Linked DNA regions of Arabidopsis thaliana. The protein of the gene in region 1 interacts with the protein of each later gene in a biochemical or structural test. Each region holds a gene or a part of one and is shown in the gene's direction. Other genes may lie near its edges.

Region 1 (8,469 bases):
TTTTATTTTGGATTGGCTTTTGCTTATTTCTTACTGTTGTTTCTTATATATAAACTTTACCTCTTAAAAAAGATTCAAGAACAATAGAATTTAGGCATTGTAGTATATAGGTTCTCTCAATAAATTGGGAAATAACGACCGGTTTTTCCAACAGAATTTTCGGCTTAGTCTGTAATGTAATCATCAAAAATTGCATTATTTGCTTTACGACTACAGCTCAACTGGGCCACCCTGATTACTTATCCGACCCGGCCCGACCCATCCGGATCTTCCTTCTCTTGTTTAAATTAAAGCAGATAAAAAGGAAACTGGAAAATTCAGTTCAAGTATTGTCGTCGGAATATTACTCTTCACCGGCCAGGTAAAGCTTTCCTACGACTATGCTTGTGTTCGTCGGAATGTGTTTTTCTTTCTTTTTCTTATAGTCTCTGGTCGCTAATGACTCGTATTCTTGGTCCAGTTTTCAGCTCTTGTGTGTAAATTTGTTAGTCTTTTTTAATGTCGAGTAATTGGGGAAGTAGCTCGCGAGATAGCTCGGGAAGTAGTTCAAGAAGCGATGTTGACAACTCGTTTGATGCTGACGAACTTTTACAGATTGGTTCAAGATGTATGGAGGTGAATCTGTTTTTCTTTCTCTATATCCTTTGTCTCAGAGATTGATGAAGTTCATATTTTTGGCTTTATGATCTCATGTTTTCATTGTAATTGTAGCTACGGAGAGAAAAGGAGATGCTTAGAGAATCTCAGTCACAGAGTGTTGAACTTGTCAGAGTATGTTCCTCTTGTGTGTTTTAGACTAGTGAATTGATTGTTCAAACTTTTTCTGAGATTTGTTGTCTTTTTTTTTTTTACCCTAGAGGTTGGAACTGAATGCGAATTCGTTGTCAGAGTCTCGTTTAGAAGATAAGAGAAGAATTCAGATGTTGGAGAAAGAATTGTTGAATTGCTACCAGGAGATTGGTAATGGAGAGATTCTCATGAAACTGAAATCTAGGCATATATTTTATATGAGCTAAAAAACACTTTCTTTGTCTTTCAGATTATTTGCGGGATCAAGTAAACTTCAGAAGCCAGGAAATGAACGACCTGAGTGAACATGTACTCGATCTTGAAGTCAGAGTAACTAAATCAGGGAAATTGGAAGAAGAAGTTAACTATTTGAGGGAGGAGTTGTGTTCGTCGAAATCTGAGCAGCTATTGTTGTTGCAAGAACTGGAGAGCACAGAAACTGAGCTACAGTTTTCTTTGTTTTCTGTTGAGAAGCTGGAGGAGTCGGTCTCATCCTTAACATTGGAGTCTCAGTGTGAGATAGAAAGCATAAAACTTGATATAGTAGCGTTGGAGCAGGCGCTCTTTGATGCTCAGAAATTTCAAGGTGAAAGCATCCAAGAAAACGATAAGTTAAGAGAAATAGTCAAGGAGCTACGGTTGAACTCTCGAGAGGCAGAAGAGAATGCTGAGTGTTTAGAGAAGCAAAACAAGGAGCTGATGGAGAGATGTGTAGCCTCTGAAAGGAATATCAAAGACTTACGTCAAAGCTTTAGAGGAAGGTTGGAAAGTGAAAGTGAAGCGCCTGTAAATCCAGATTGTTTCCATGACATCATCAAGAAATTAGAGGTTTTCCAGGATGGGAAACTGAGAGACAAAATGGAAGATATGGCAAGACAGATACTTCAATACAAAGATCTTGTAAAGCAGCTCAAGGTATTAGTTACCAAACAAAACAGTAGAATCAAAAATTTGGTGCCTTTTTGCAGCGTCACACATATTCTAACTAGTTAAACCATTATTTTGTTATGCCTAAGGATGAGTTGAAAGAAGAGAAACTAAAGGCCAAGGAAGAAGCAGAGGACTTAACACAAGAAATGGCTGAATTAAGATATGAAATGACATGTTTATTGGAGGAAGAATGCAAGCGGCGTGCATGCATCGAACAAGCATCATTACAAAGAATAGCCAATCTAGAAGCACAGGTACTTGCTTCTTTATATCTTCCAATTTTTTTATTTTTTTTGAGCCATCAGATATTGTTGAAGGAACCTAACAAATATCCATTTTCTTGTTAAGATCAAGAGAGAGAAGAACAAGTCCTCAACTTGCTTAGTTCCTCTTCCTGCTGTATAAACCAGCTAAGGTTCGAGTTAAACTTGAAATCACAGTTAATGCCTCAAATAAGCCTTTAAGCTATAAGGTTTGAATTCTTATGTATTTAAAGTGTACATAATCCAATTTGATTGGAAATTGGAATATAGATTTCATCCCTGTGATTATGTTTATATATGGAAATTGAGTTTTACAAGAGTGAAACTGCTTCTTCATGTGCCTACCAAAAAAAAAAACTGCTTCTTCATGTGGCTTCTAAGTGTTTAATTACGCCTTCAGCAACATGTAGAGATCTTGAGAAATTGACATGAGTCTCTAGAGAATGTTGAAAGCTGTGGTCGTTGACCAAGAAGATTCTTACTATTTGACTCTATTTGATAGGCCTGTAATGAGCCTAGGTCAATAAGGCTGAGTTTATTTGATGGCCCGTTTTTCTCTCTTTTATTGTTCTTCTTTTTCTTGTGAAAATAAAGAAATCTGGAAGCGTTGTTGTATCATCATGTATGTGCAGAGTCTAGTAACCTTGTTGTTGATGCAAAGGGATAAATGAATGGGTCAAGGAAAAGAACCTGTTGTCTTTATTGTTAATCAAGACACTTGTAGATTTGTTGTCTAACCTAATCCAACTTGACTTTAAGCAAAAACATATTCCAACTTGTTCTTCACCAAAATGATATGTTGAAATATCGTATCTACTAGGACATCAAGATTTTGTTGTAGTCGTTATCAATGTAACCGGTAACAAATAAAAATTAATGAGATAAATTAGGCATGATCATATCCATAGATATTGTCAAACAATTTTCTATCTTCAAGTAGTTTTTGGTTTTGGGCGAAAATATGTTCTCTTTGACAAATTCAACAAAGACCATTCTTTTTGGATGACAAAATTGACAACTTACCCATTCTTTTTGGGCTCATACAATTTATCAACTAAACCATCAGTACAAAAAAAGAAGCAGAAATTAGAAAAATATAAGAAAATGACTCTTTCTCTGTAAGAAAAAATCCAACTACGTTTATTATATCCACAATTACGTCCTATATACAATTAAAAAGATCTAAATTGCTCTATTTTCGTTAGAAAGTAGTTACTTTTTACTTTTTTAGAAGTTTGATCTAGAAAAAAAAAGAATTATATATATGACCGTTTTAGATTTGAATTAAATGATTTTGTTTTATTTATTAATTGATCCACGTTCCTTTCTACAATTTGTTTTTTTTTTAATCTCCTTGATAAATTTTCGTCAACACATACCCAAAGACCTCCTTGTTGTACTCTCAAATTCTTGGGTCGTTCTGAGTCGTCTCCGCGTTAAATCTTTTCCCTTTTTGATCCTTTCTTCCTTTCTTCTTCTTCTTCGCATTGATTTGGTCCTCCTTCCTCTTCTATTCTATTCATTAAGAACCTAATCTTCATCTTCTCCATCTTCTTCTTCACGGACTCCACTTCGCTCATCCAGGTAACCACAATCTGCTCTCTATCTTTTGCTTCAAAATTCTCAGTTCCTTTCTTCTCAATTTCCGTCTGCTAGATCCTGGGCTTTCGATTTGTTCCGTTCCTCTTCTGCGATTGTTTCGTTCCAGAGAGAATTATCGAAATAATTAAGCGAATTTTGTGTGTGGTTTTCATAGTCTTGGGTTCTTTAGCCGCTACATATACTCAATTATGCCCAAAATTAGGTTTAAAATTGATTAACTAAAACTTATACTTTTTGGTCTCGTCTTATGTTATCGTTTAAATTGTTCTTAGAAGTGAAATCATTCGATGCTACGTTTTTGACTTGTTGCTTTACTTTATCTATACCTTTGATTTGATCAACTTTTCTCTTAGCTTACAAGTTAGAATCAAAGCATCAATCCTGATTACTGTTTTGGTTTCTGCAGGAAGGTTTATTAGTAGTAACCAATCCAAGTGTTCCTTTTGTTTGAAGCAACAAGCTTTGTGATATTATCCTGAGAGACAATGTTTGGTTTAAGGAAATCACCGGCAAATCTTCCCAAGCATAACTCAGTCGACCTCAAGTCTTCCAAGCCAAATCCTTTCGATTCAGATGATGAATCTGACAACAAACATACCCTTAACCCTTCTAAGAGGACTACCTCTGAACCCTCTTTGGCTGATATGACAAACCCTTTTGGTGGTGAGAGAGTTCAGAAAGGAGATAGTAGTTCATCCAAACAGTCATTGTTTTCGAACTCCAAATACCAGTACAAGAACAATTTCCGTGATTCTGGTGGTATTGAAAACCAGTCGGTTCAGGAGCTTGAAGGTTATGCTGTGTACAAGGCTGAAGAGACTACGAAATCTGTACAAGGTTGTTTGAAGGTAGCAGAAGATATAAGGTCTGATGCTACCAGAACTTTGGTCATGTTACACGATCAGGGCGAGCAAATCACTAGGACGCACCATAAAGCCGTTGAAATCGACCATGATCTCAGTCGTGTGAGTTTTTCTTCCTTCTGGTTCTTGATTATAAAATGGAAACATTCAATCTTTTTCTGAGGACATTAGTTGGTGTGAGATAAGAAGACGGTAGACATTTGATGCTGAAACTAGTTGGATTTTTGGTTTTCAGGGTGAGAAACTTCTTGGAAGCCTTGGAGGCATGTTTTCAAAGACTTGGAAACCAAAGAAGACTCGTCCTATAAATGGTCCCGTCGTAACCAGAGGTTTGCTTCTTGGTCATTGATATCTCAATTCTTCTCGCAGCTATTTTACTTTCACCTAATTGCTGAATCCTTTATTTTGTGTTTTTGCTTAGATGACTCACCAACGAGAAGAGTTAACCACTTAGAGAAAAGGGAAAAACTGGGACTGAACTCAGCACCCAGAGGACAATCAAGAACCCGAGAACCACTCCCCGAATCAGCTGATGCTTATCAGAGAGTGGAGGTTTGGACTTCTCTTCCCTCTCTTCAATTTTTCCTTTCATAAGAACATTACTATACTCCTGCATCTGATATGAGTGATGCATGAACTCTTTATCTGTGGTCCTGTAATGCTAACAATTTGAGACATTGATGACTCATCAATGATGAGCATATATATCTGAGTGAAAAACATGTGTTTTGGACGCCACTAAACTTAATACTGGTTTATTACAGATGGAAAAAGCTAAGCAAGACGATGGGCTTTCAGACTTGAGTGATATACTCGGCGAGCTAAAGAACATGGCTGTTGACATGGGAAGCGAAATCGAGAAGCAGAACAAAGGACTTGACCATCTTCATGATGATGTTGACGAACTCAACTTCAGAGTGCAACAATCAAACCAACGTGGTCGCCGTTTGCTTGGAAAGTAGATGAACAGAGGGTTTATATGTTCATTACACTCATTCCTCGTTTGTTTTATTCTCTATGAAGTTGTTCTTTAAAACTGGAAAGATTCTTATCATGTTAAATACATTATTGCTATCTGTGTTTGTATTTGATCTTGTGACAAAAAACCAAAAAACTTATTGATCAAACAGAAGCAACTTTGGTATCGTTTTTATCTGTATCATAAAGCTTTCTCAAGAAATTCTGATAATAGATGAAATTATGAGTTTTAATCTCAGATTTATAACCTAAAAATATCAGTGCTAGAATACGACATAAGAATACAGAAACTCCAGACAAGTTGGAACATATGTTATGCAACAACTGCACAATCATGTGAGATTATTCAAAAGAACAAAAAAACCAGGAACTCTTCATTCCCTTTAGTCTTCCTCAGCTACAATCCAAGGGATATATTCCACAATGTCCTCTTCTTCACTTGTATAATGTCTGAAGCCATAAAACACAAAGACTACTAATGAGAACTAGACAAAGCAATCTGACATAGTTGGAAAGAACTATGAATAGAGGAAATAATAATCTCATACAAACACCACTTGTTCCCGAATCATATTCTCAAGCCACAAACTCGACAATCAATGAATATAAAGTGGCTCCAACATGACCATTAAAAACAAATAGCTTTGGAGGATATTGTAATGACAAACATACATCTACTGAAGCTTGACTTCCATGATGTTCTTGGTCTTGGGAGGATATGCCAAGTAAACCTTGAGCACTCTCTCAGCAACAAAAAGCTGTTTTTTAGCTTCAGCATAAGCCTCAGTCACCTTCGATGGGTCAGTGAGATTCTTGTTCATGCGGAAGCCATCCAAGGTCCTTCGCTTACTGTACTCCCTAATGTTGTAATCAGGGAATTGACGTCCCGCTCGAAGCAAGGCACGACATAGGCTAAGAACTTCACTACTAGACACCATTGCAAGATTGGAAACTAACCCTTAATTATACAAAGCCTGGTTAACTGCAATCAGTATAAGAACACAAAGAAGCTGAGATTAGCAATGCCGAAAAGGAAGAGAAGTAGTCAAGATGATCAAGGGATAAAGCTATACACTTCGACATGTAACAAGAAGTTATATAGATAAGTGAAAAGTATTAAGGACCAGTACATCATTTATAGAGCAAAAGAACCTAGATTCAGTAACATTAGTATATAGATAAGTATTGATTTGAGTAGTGTATATAAGGTATGAGAACCAGTTGCTGCAACATTAGAAACTAGGCACTAGAGTTCATGAAAATACGCAAAAGAACCAATATTAACTAATCGCAAACGCTTAAAACAATCAAGAAGAAACCTTAAAAGGCCATAAACGCACTTAGTAATCCTAAACTTCAGTAAAATGGATGAAATTGCAGTCACAGCCAAAAGAGACAATACATCTGAATCATGAGAGGATCCGATAAGCATAGAATTTGACGATAACGAGCTCCAGATACATATACATACCGAATCAAATCGTCGGAGAGTATTAATTTCCCGAGCTCGCCGTTGAAGTTCTCCGTTCGAAGGTTTTGATAGCAGCAAGCTGGGTCGTTCGGGGGAATAAATAAACTTTTAGGTTTACCCAAAACTAAACCGGGAAAACTGATTTGGGAACCGGATCAATTTTAGATTGAGTAAGAAAAGAACCGGTTTTAGAATGGGCTAGACACAAAGGCCTGTTAAATTGGGCCAATATGTGATAAGCCAGCCTTTTTTAATGAAGGTGTATGAGCTGGCATATTCGACAAGAAATAGTAAACAAAACCGATATTTATCATTCTCTGTCACGCCTTCTTCCTTCTCTACACGAATTCGATTCTCTCTTATCTCGACGAGAAAACCCTACTGCGAAAAAACTCCGATCTCTCTGGCGAGAAGTAAATTTTTATCTCTGAGCTTGGTTTCACCATTTCTCTATCTCTATCTCCTCGCTGGGTTACGGTACGAGCCTCTCAAACTTTTCGATTCCTTGTGTTCATAAGTATGTGTGAAAATCCTTGCGTGTCGAGATTGATTTTTCTCTTTTTCGTTTCGGATTCATCGTTGGATTCTTATTTCGTCAATGTTTTTCTGTGATTTGTTCTGATTCATGTGTAATTTGTAGCTGACTTGATTGGTGATCGATGATTAAAATTTGTACTCGTTAGTTCCCCCTTGATTCGATTGATTTTGTCTCTGTGAGGGTATTTTTTCTGATTCTATTGTATTGTTTGTAGATTTGCCAATATTAGAGACTACAAGTGTCGTAATTGGATTCTGAATGAACTTTTGAAACTCTACACGAGCTGGATTGTTGTGTTATTTATATTACAGAGAAATTTATAGCATTTTTGTTGTGTTCATCTGGTTTTCACTAATTTGGTTTTCTTCTCCATCTTTTGTTGATAGGTTTGGTAAGGTCAGTGTTCTCTAAGGCTGAAATTTGGGGGTTTCTCAGTCTCGATGTGGTCGTGCTCCGTTAGGATTCTTCACAATCATTAGGGTTATATTTCTTACAAACTGATGCTCATTTTCTCTTCCCTGTCTATGGCTTTATCTGTGATCCTTCAAAAGCTTAGTGTCTTCGGCCCTGGTTTGAATCCTTCTTTCCCTTACTGCATCGCCAATCACTCCTTTGCCTCCCGTTAATTGAGTTGCTCTCTTTCAACTTAATTACATTAGTCTGCTTCCTTTGCTGTCTAGTCTGGATAGTGTTGCAAATCAAGTAGTATCTTCTTTAGACATTCTTGGCTGAGAGATTTACACTAAAAGCATAGAATAAGAAACCCCTGTTTGGTTAGTATCTACCCGAGTCTCGTAGTCCTACACAGATCCGGATCCTAGTTTCGAAGCTAGTTCTTGTTTAGCTGAAGCTCAGACCCAAAATGCTCCAAGAACCGTCGGCTGCATTCTCCCTCCGGCGTAACTCATTCAGACGCCGATCTCCCAGATCAAATGTCGATGACAGAGGCTGGAATCCGCTCCATATCAAAGCCAGAAAAGGCGATCTGAAATCTGTCAAGCAGCTTCTCGACCAAGGAATGGATGTGAATGCTCT
Region 2 (7,376 bases), on another chromosome or scaffold:
TTAATATAGTCGACGTTAGTCCTATGGTAACGTAATGTCCCAAGAGACTAACCACACTACAGAAATCTGAAGCCCTTGCAGATCTTATATGTTTTATTCTAAAGATGTTGAAGAGAGGACCATAACAAATACATGTATGATAATCAAACTTCAAACAGAGAAAGTACCAACTTAGGAAAAACCATAATATATACTAACATTAGATACTAATTCATAGATCCTTCATGACATTGTATGATAATCCTCATTGGATTTTTATTTACATTAAATTCTTAAAGCAAATAAAAAACAAACAAAGAAACCAAAACTCTACTGAAGCTGATTGAAAGGAGAAAGCTTCCATGCTGCCGAGCGCACGACCTTCCACTCCAATCCCATAAGAACTGAGCAAAACTCAAGTAACCATCGGAACTGGTTTTGCTCTAGGTAAACCCAGAGGCCAAGAACCGATTTTGCTCAGGGGACCCGAAAAAAAACTAAACCCCACTAAACCGGCTGGCTGCTCCGAGAACTGACATCTTTAGGTACTGCAATATATCCAGCTGCTGCTACTACTACTATCACGCAAACTATACAGGGAAATGTTTATTCAGTCTCATCTCCCTGCGGAGACCAATGTTTTTTCGTCATTGGAGCTCATCGAAGGAAGAGGAACAGGGAGACTTGGGTTTGAATCAGGAGTGGCTGCTTCTTTCTCAACTGGTACAGGCTTTGGTGTGTAAGTAAAGTTGAGTTCTTTGTTGGCTGCAAGTGCCACAAGCTCTTTCTCTTCAAGGCCTTTGGTCGGTCCGAGGCTGCACCTATCTGGACCATGCTTTGCCAAGGCATCTCTGAATTTCTTGATCTGAAACAGATAAAACAAATCAAGATCAAAATCGAACCTAAGATGGTTTTTTCATTGATTGTCTCATGGATTATAAGAATGAGAACGAACCGTGGCATTGGTACAGCTAAAGCTGCAAACACGACCCTGAGAGCCACGGTAGAATCGGAAAAAAGGGAGAACATGGACACCAAGACTATAACACATGGACTTATGCTCCTCGTAATTCACCTGAAGAAACTGCACATCCGGGTTCATCTCTGCAAACTGACATATCTGCAACAATCATAAACCATCATTGTTAGAAAACTTGTTCATTTCATCAATACTGTACCAAACAATCCAAGAAGTGGATTGATACCTTAGGATGGAGAGCCTTGCAGCCACCACAGCCAGGTGAGAAGAAATCAACAACAACAAGCTTATCACCAGCGTTAGTAAGAGAATCAACGAGCTCTTGAGCTGAAGAGATCTCTCTCATGTTATCTTTCAGACCTTTCTCCCACCACTTCTGAGCTGTCCCAATCCTCAAAGTTGTCTGCAAATTTACACATGTCAGATATCATATTTTCACAGATCCATAAAACCAACACATCAAATTGAAAACACATGAACCCTAAACCAAAATCTACTCTTCAAGCCAATAATTCACAACAAAATTAAAGCAAAACCCTAAAAAACTATTCTTTCAACAATTAGCTCTCAGGATCTTTCTAATTAGATCTCGCATGTAATGGATTATAATATTTCAGATAAACAAAAACGAAAACACAAAACATTAAAGTCTACCTGAGCTGTGATAGCTGATGATCTTCTGAAGCTCTCGTCTTGAGAATCTCCGAAAACGATCTGTTTTCCGTAAAATACACTTCTAAGAGGCTTCTGACTCTTAAGCTTCAGACAAGAGAAACTCTTTTTCAAACCAAACCCACCAAAACTCACCGGAGAGAAAGAGAAATCATCAACACGGTGATGATTACCACAAGCTCCTAAGAACAAACTCGTTTTGCTAATCACTTCCGTCATATTATTCTCTAATCAGAAGAAAAAACAATATCTGTCTCCAGAATATACCAGAAGAAAAAGAAAAAGTTCTCACAGAGACGACGTGTCTTCTCAGCAATCTTTAGTCGCCAGCGAAGTTTCGCTTTCTTTCTCAGGAAAAATTAGCTTCACGAGAAAATTTATAATCGAAAAAAAAAAGTTTAAAGGAAAGAGAAAAAGGCCTCAAGGTTAGACATTTCTGGACAGGAAACTGTTTTCTTTTTCGTTAAGTGATCTTGACCGTCCATTTTGGATTTGGAATTTTAAGATCTAACGGTGGATTAGTGATTATCAGGTTTAGTCGGTCAGAAGAAAACTAATAAATGGATAAGGTTCATGACTTCTCGCAGATATAAAGGAACAAGTATAGGAAATTTTCTCATGACTTTGAATACATTTAAATGGATATGTTTGGTTTTTTACCATGCTTTTATCTGAATACAGAGTTTTAACTATGTTAAGTGGATATATATTATTTTGAAGAGTATGTTTAGCCAATTTAAGTAACGAATTTTAAATTTACCTATATTAATATTAAACAAATGGATTATATAGGTCATGAACCAAACAATTTTGAGAAAAATAAATGATACAGTTTCATCCTCAAACATTTATCAATCAAGTAAACAACAAATTAGGCGATGAACCACCAAAATGAAAGATTATTACTTTATTAGTCATCTGCAATCAACTAGTGAAGGATTTTACTACCAAACAAAAGAAAAAAAAGTAGTGATGGATAAATGGATTTGGATTTTAAGGAAGATAGTTTGCCAACACATCACCCACGTGGGTCTCACTCTCTCCACCACAACTCTCTCCTTTAACCTTTTTTATGAACTTTATATTATTGGAGATTTGCAATTGCCACCTCTTTAACAAAATAATTGGAGATTGCCCTTTTTAGTTTTTTGGTTTACATCTAACCCCCTCAATTCCACATTGCACAAGTTTTCGATCGATTCACGACAATAAGTAGAACAAACGTAACAAATGTGACTAGAGTTGAACAGCCAAAACAATCGAAGCAACTTTATTTTAATGTAAAACAAGCGTTATGTAATATTTTTTTGGGCGGCAAACAAATTTACTATATTTAATTACAAAAACAGAATAATTTTTTAATTAGAAAACAAAAAGTTTAAACAAAACAAATGTGACGAATGTAGAATAGACAAAACAATCCTAACAAATTTGTTTTAATGTAAAACAAGCGTTACGTAATCTATATATTTTTGTCGGTAAACTAATACTATTTTATAACCATGAAACGTTACAAAATTTAGTACATACTAACGTTATAGTAATGTAGTGACACAGTTTTTAAAAACATTTTTCAAGCATTACAGAATAAATATTGAATTGCGACTACAATAAATATTATTAAATTATTTTTTTATTCGAATATCATAAGGAATTTAATGTGATTAGTCAAAATTTTGGGTATTATTAAGTTTATAGAGATATGATGTACATTTTATTTAAAATTTGTCTACGATATTGAAACAATTTTGAAAATATTACAAGAAAAATAAAAACTGATTTCAAGTTTAGAGACCAACAAGCTAGTGGAGATGTTTTATTGGAGAGTCGTTTACATACGAAATTAGAATTAAAATATTATATATTTGAAAATATCCTAATAATTTGAATGGTTCAACTAAGGTGTATCGTAACAAAAGAAACTATACCATAAGTTTTCCAACATAAAAAACAAAACACAAGAACCACAATTTTTGTATAAATGGTGACAAATGTGCAGCTAAGAACACCTCTTCTTTGCTTTCGTAAATCGTCACCAATGATGATTTGTCGACAAAAGCGATGTCATACACATAATTACAATTTAGTCCCTATATTTTCTTCTCAGTTTCGATATCTTTAAAGCTGTCTCAATCACACACGTCGGCACTAAAACATACATCTAATTACAATTTAGTCCCTATATTATTTTAAAGTTTCGAAAGAAATTCACATGAATTTAAAAATAGATTTGAAGAAACAGAAACAGATAGACAAATGGACGACAACGGATACATCGCCAAAATATAGCCGTTGGGGCGAAGAAATCACAGTAACGGCTAATTTCTCCTTTTTCTTATATTAGAAAGAAAGCTTTCTCTCATCTCACAAATCGCTAATCAAATTCTATAGTAAGCTTTACTTCACACTACTCTCTCACTTTCTGGGCAGAAACTTTGTGGATCTAGAAGAACACACTAATCAGAAGAGTATGTTGTATTTTCTTTGATTTTCTCTTGTTTGATTCTGTTACAATCACTGCGATTCTCTCTGATTCTTGTAAAATTGTTGACTTTCAGGTGAAAAAGATGAACGACTTGATGACGAAATCGTTTATGAGTTACGTTGACTTGAAAAAAGCAGCGATGAAGGATATGGAAGCAGGACCTGACTTTGATCTTGAGATGGCTTCTACGAAAGCAGACAAGATGGATGAGAATCTGTCATCTTTCTTAGAAGAAGCAGAGTATGTGAAAGCAGAGATGGGTTTGATTAGTGAGACGCTGGCTCGGATCGAACAGTACCATGAAGAGAGTAAAGGTGTTCACAAGGCAGAGTCTGTGAAGTCTCTTCGTAACAAGATCTCTAACGAGATTGTGTCTGGTTTGAGGAAGGCGAAATCGATTAAGTCGAAGCTGGAAGAGATGGATAAAGCCAACAAGGAGATTAAAAGGCTCTCTGGGACTCCGGTTTATAGGAGCAGAACCGCTGTGACTAATGGGCTGAGGAAGAAACTTAAGGAAGTGATGATGGAGTTTCAGGGGCTGAGGCAAAAGATGATGAGTGAGTACAAGGAGACTGTTGAGAGAAGGTACTTCACTGTCACTGGAGAACATGCTAATGATGAGATGATTGAGAAGATCATCACTGATAACGCTGGAGGTGAAGAGTTTCTCACGCGAGCAATTCAGGAACATGGTAAAGGAAAGGTCTTGGAAACTGTGGTTGAGATTCAAGACAGGTATGATGCAGCAAAGGAGATTGAGAAGAGTCTGTTGGAGCTTCACCAAGTGTTTCTTGATATGGCTGTGATGGTTGAATCGCAAGGTGAACAGATGGACGAGATCGAGCATCATGTGATTAATGCGAGCCATTACGTGGCTGATGGAGCTAATGAGCTGAAGACTGCAAAGAGTCATCAGAGAAACAGCAGAAAATGGATGTGCATTGGTATCATTGTGCTGCTTTTGATCATTCTCATTGTTGTCATCCCCATCATTACCAGTTTCAGCTCTTCTTGAGATACTGGCTATGTTCACTCCTTTTGTTTTGTTTCGCTCTTCTTTGTACCAATGGATGTCTTAATCCTTTTGTGTTCTTCAAGGATGTCTTAATCCTTTCGTGTCTTGTATCCAATTTCAATGAAATGGTGAATGTTTACAAAGATACCCAGTTGACTTAATCCTCTTGATCATTCTAAATGTTGTCATCCCCATTGTTAACACTTTCAGCTCTTCTTGAGGTACTATGTTTACCAATCGTTGTTTGTTTCGCTCAAAGGATGTTTAATCCTTGTGTTTTCTGTATCCAATTGTTATGGAATGATGATGACTGTGTACAAAAATATTACTTTATATGAACCGAACACAGTATGTATAATATAGTTTGTACAACAATGGTGGTTCTTGTTTCTACCTGACCTTCCTGATTGGCAAAGCTTTCCCAAACAATTTTTCAACCTCACTTGCTTCCATTTTGATCTCATCCAAAAACTCCATCTCTTCTTTACTTAACTCTCTCACGAAATTCTCCTCGTCTTGCTTCAGTTCATTAAATCCTTCAGCCAATCTCTGGAACAAGGTCATCTCAGTCCTACCGACCTTCTCCACTTCCTTCTCTACCTCTTCTTCTATCTCTTCAACCTCTTTTACGATTATCCTTTCACCTTCTTCCACTGTCTTCTCAATTCTCTCCACGAGCGCAGGTTCAGGACCACATGTGTTATCCGTTCTAATGAATGTGCTGAAGTCTCTGCCTATGCTTTTTGCTGCTTTTTCGAGTTCTGGTATAATGCTATTGGGTAATACAGAACTTCTCGTGTATACAACTGCACCACCATATCCATCCCAAGCATCGTTTCGCCCACGGTAGTATACAAATATATAGTCTTCAGGTTTATTCTCTATCTTTGATGACAGGATATACCTGCAAAAATCATATGAAAGCTTGTTAGGCCAAAGAAGAATAGCAGCACTATCAAGACTCTCCCTCGTGGGTGGATACAAGATGTTATTACCAGTCATCTTGATAGTGAAGGTACTCGTTGTCATGATTGTAGAGAACACCAGGTTGGTTAGGATCTTGCACGAATTTTTGTACGGCTGACCTAGTAAAGAATCCACTGTCTAGGGTCTTTATTCTCCAAGAGATGTTTCCAACAAGCTTGTTGTCACCTTCTGTGTGGAACTCATGCAGCTGGCAGTCGAAGGCATCAAAGGTTGGATTCAAGCCACTTGTAATGTACCACTTCCCGTTAAAGTCCGAGATGTTGAAGTTCTGTACAAGAACAGAAGGGTCTGGGGCAGGAAATTCTCCGAGATCAGATTTTCTAGGAACACACTTTTTTCTCGACACAGCACACTCGTTGAACTCATCAACAACACTGTTCTCAAACAGATCCCCACATTTAATCTGATATAATATAAGCACATAATTATAAACAAAATCATTGGTCTTCTTTCATAAGCAAGCAATATCTCTGCCTCATAAAATGATATATCAAAATAAATTATAACCTGGCACTCGGTTTCATCTGGACGGTTATTGCAGGTCTGAAGGCACGCGACATTGGCTGCACAGGCAGGGTTGGCAATGCACTTTGCGAGTTCTATCCTAACAGATAATTGGGCTTCCATATGGTCAGACAAGGAGGGAAATATATAAATTGACGGCAAAAAAATCAGAAAGATATCATCAACTGATTTCAGCTCTATCATAGACAGACACAGTAACTTCATCTAGCTTTAACATTCTCAACAATTGAAGAGTATGGAGCTATACAATTCAAAACACTTATAGCATCACAATCACAATGAAAATAAAACCGGTTTTGGTGGGGGGACACTATATATGCAGAATCCAAACGAAGGAAAGTTACCTGCATCCCTTCAATAAGCATGCACAAGTTTTAAGTGCATCAACTGCATCTGCAGATGGAACAATAAGGAACGCGCAAGCTAAAACACCCACGAGTTTTAGCAACAGCGGAGCGGTCAGCTCTTTCAGCTCATTCTTTGATGGTAATGGCACAATGTCAAATATCCCCTGACATGATCAAAAGCAATGAGATCATCGAAATACCAAATTTTGTATTGAAACACAAGACTAGTATGATTGATTACCTTAGAGAATCCTGACCTGAATGCAGATAAAGGACGTGAGGATCTCCCACCAGTTGTTCTGAGATCAGCACTTTGGATTGGAGGTAAAATCTTGAGCAAGAAAGTGCCATTGATCCTCTTTCTTGTAATGCCAAGCCTACCAATAC

Evidence for each region.
Region 2: the proteins of SNAP33 (region 1) and SYP111 form a complex in vitro, tested with the Arabidopsis thaliana proteins (one study listed by BioGRID).

The regions. Positions count from the first base shown.
Region 1 is NC_003076.8:24,619,958-24,628,426, forward strand, and holds SNAP33 (soluble N-ethylmaleimide-sensitive factor adaptor protein 33), read left to right. Parts: upstream 1-3,290; 5' UTR 3,291-3,566; exon of another isoform or gene 3,567-3,786; intron 3,787-3,990; 5' UTR 3,991-4,069; coding exon 4,070-4,549; intron 4,550-4,682; coding exon 4,683-4,776; intron 4,777-4,868; coding exon 4,869-4,999; exon of another isoform or gene 5,000-5,211; coding exon 5,212-5,409; 3' UTR 5,410-5,674; downstream 5,675-8,469. Other genes in the region: AT5G61200 (myosin heavy chain-like protein), read left to right, coding at 499-615, 712-771, 858-960, 1,040-1,704, 1,806-1,973, 2,068-2,124; AT5G61220 (LYR family of Fe/S cluster biogenesis protein), read right to left, coding at 6,100-6,363; ANK6 (Ankyrin repeat family protein), read left to right, coding at 8,297-8,469. UniProt on the Arabidopsis thaliana protein: t-SNARE involved in diverse vesicle trafficking and membrane fusion processes, including cell plate formation. May function in the secretory pathway.
Region 2 is NC_003070.9:2,707,532-2,714,907, reverse strand, and holds SYP111 (syntaxin of plants 111), read left to right. Parts: upstream 1-3,907; 5' UTR 3,908-4,098; intron 4,099-4,188; 5' UTR 4,189-4,197; coding exon 4,198-5,130; 3' UTR 5,131-5,383; downstream 5,384-7,376. Other genes in the region: ACHT4 (atypical CYS HIS rich thioredoxin 4), read right to left, coding at 596-844, 935-1,099, 1,185-1,361, 1,613-1,849; NPQ1 (non-photochemical quenching 1), read right to left, coding at 5,521-6,034, 6,126-6,520, 6,625-6,721, 6,987-7,153, 7,231-7,376. UniProt on the Arabidopsis thaliana protein: Involved in cytokinesis. Acts as a cell plate-specific syntaxin, required for the fusion of vesicles at the plane of cell division.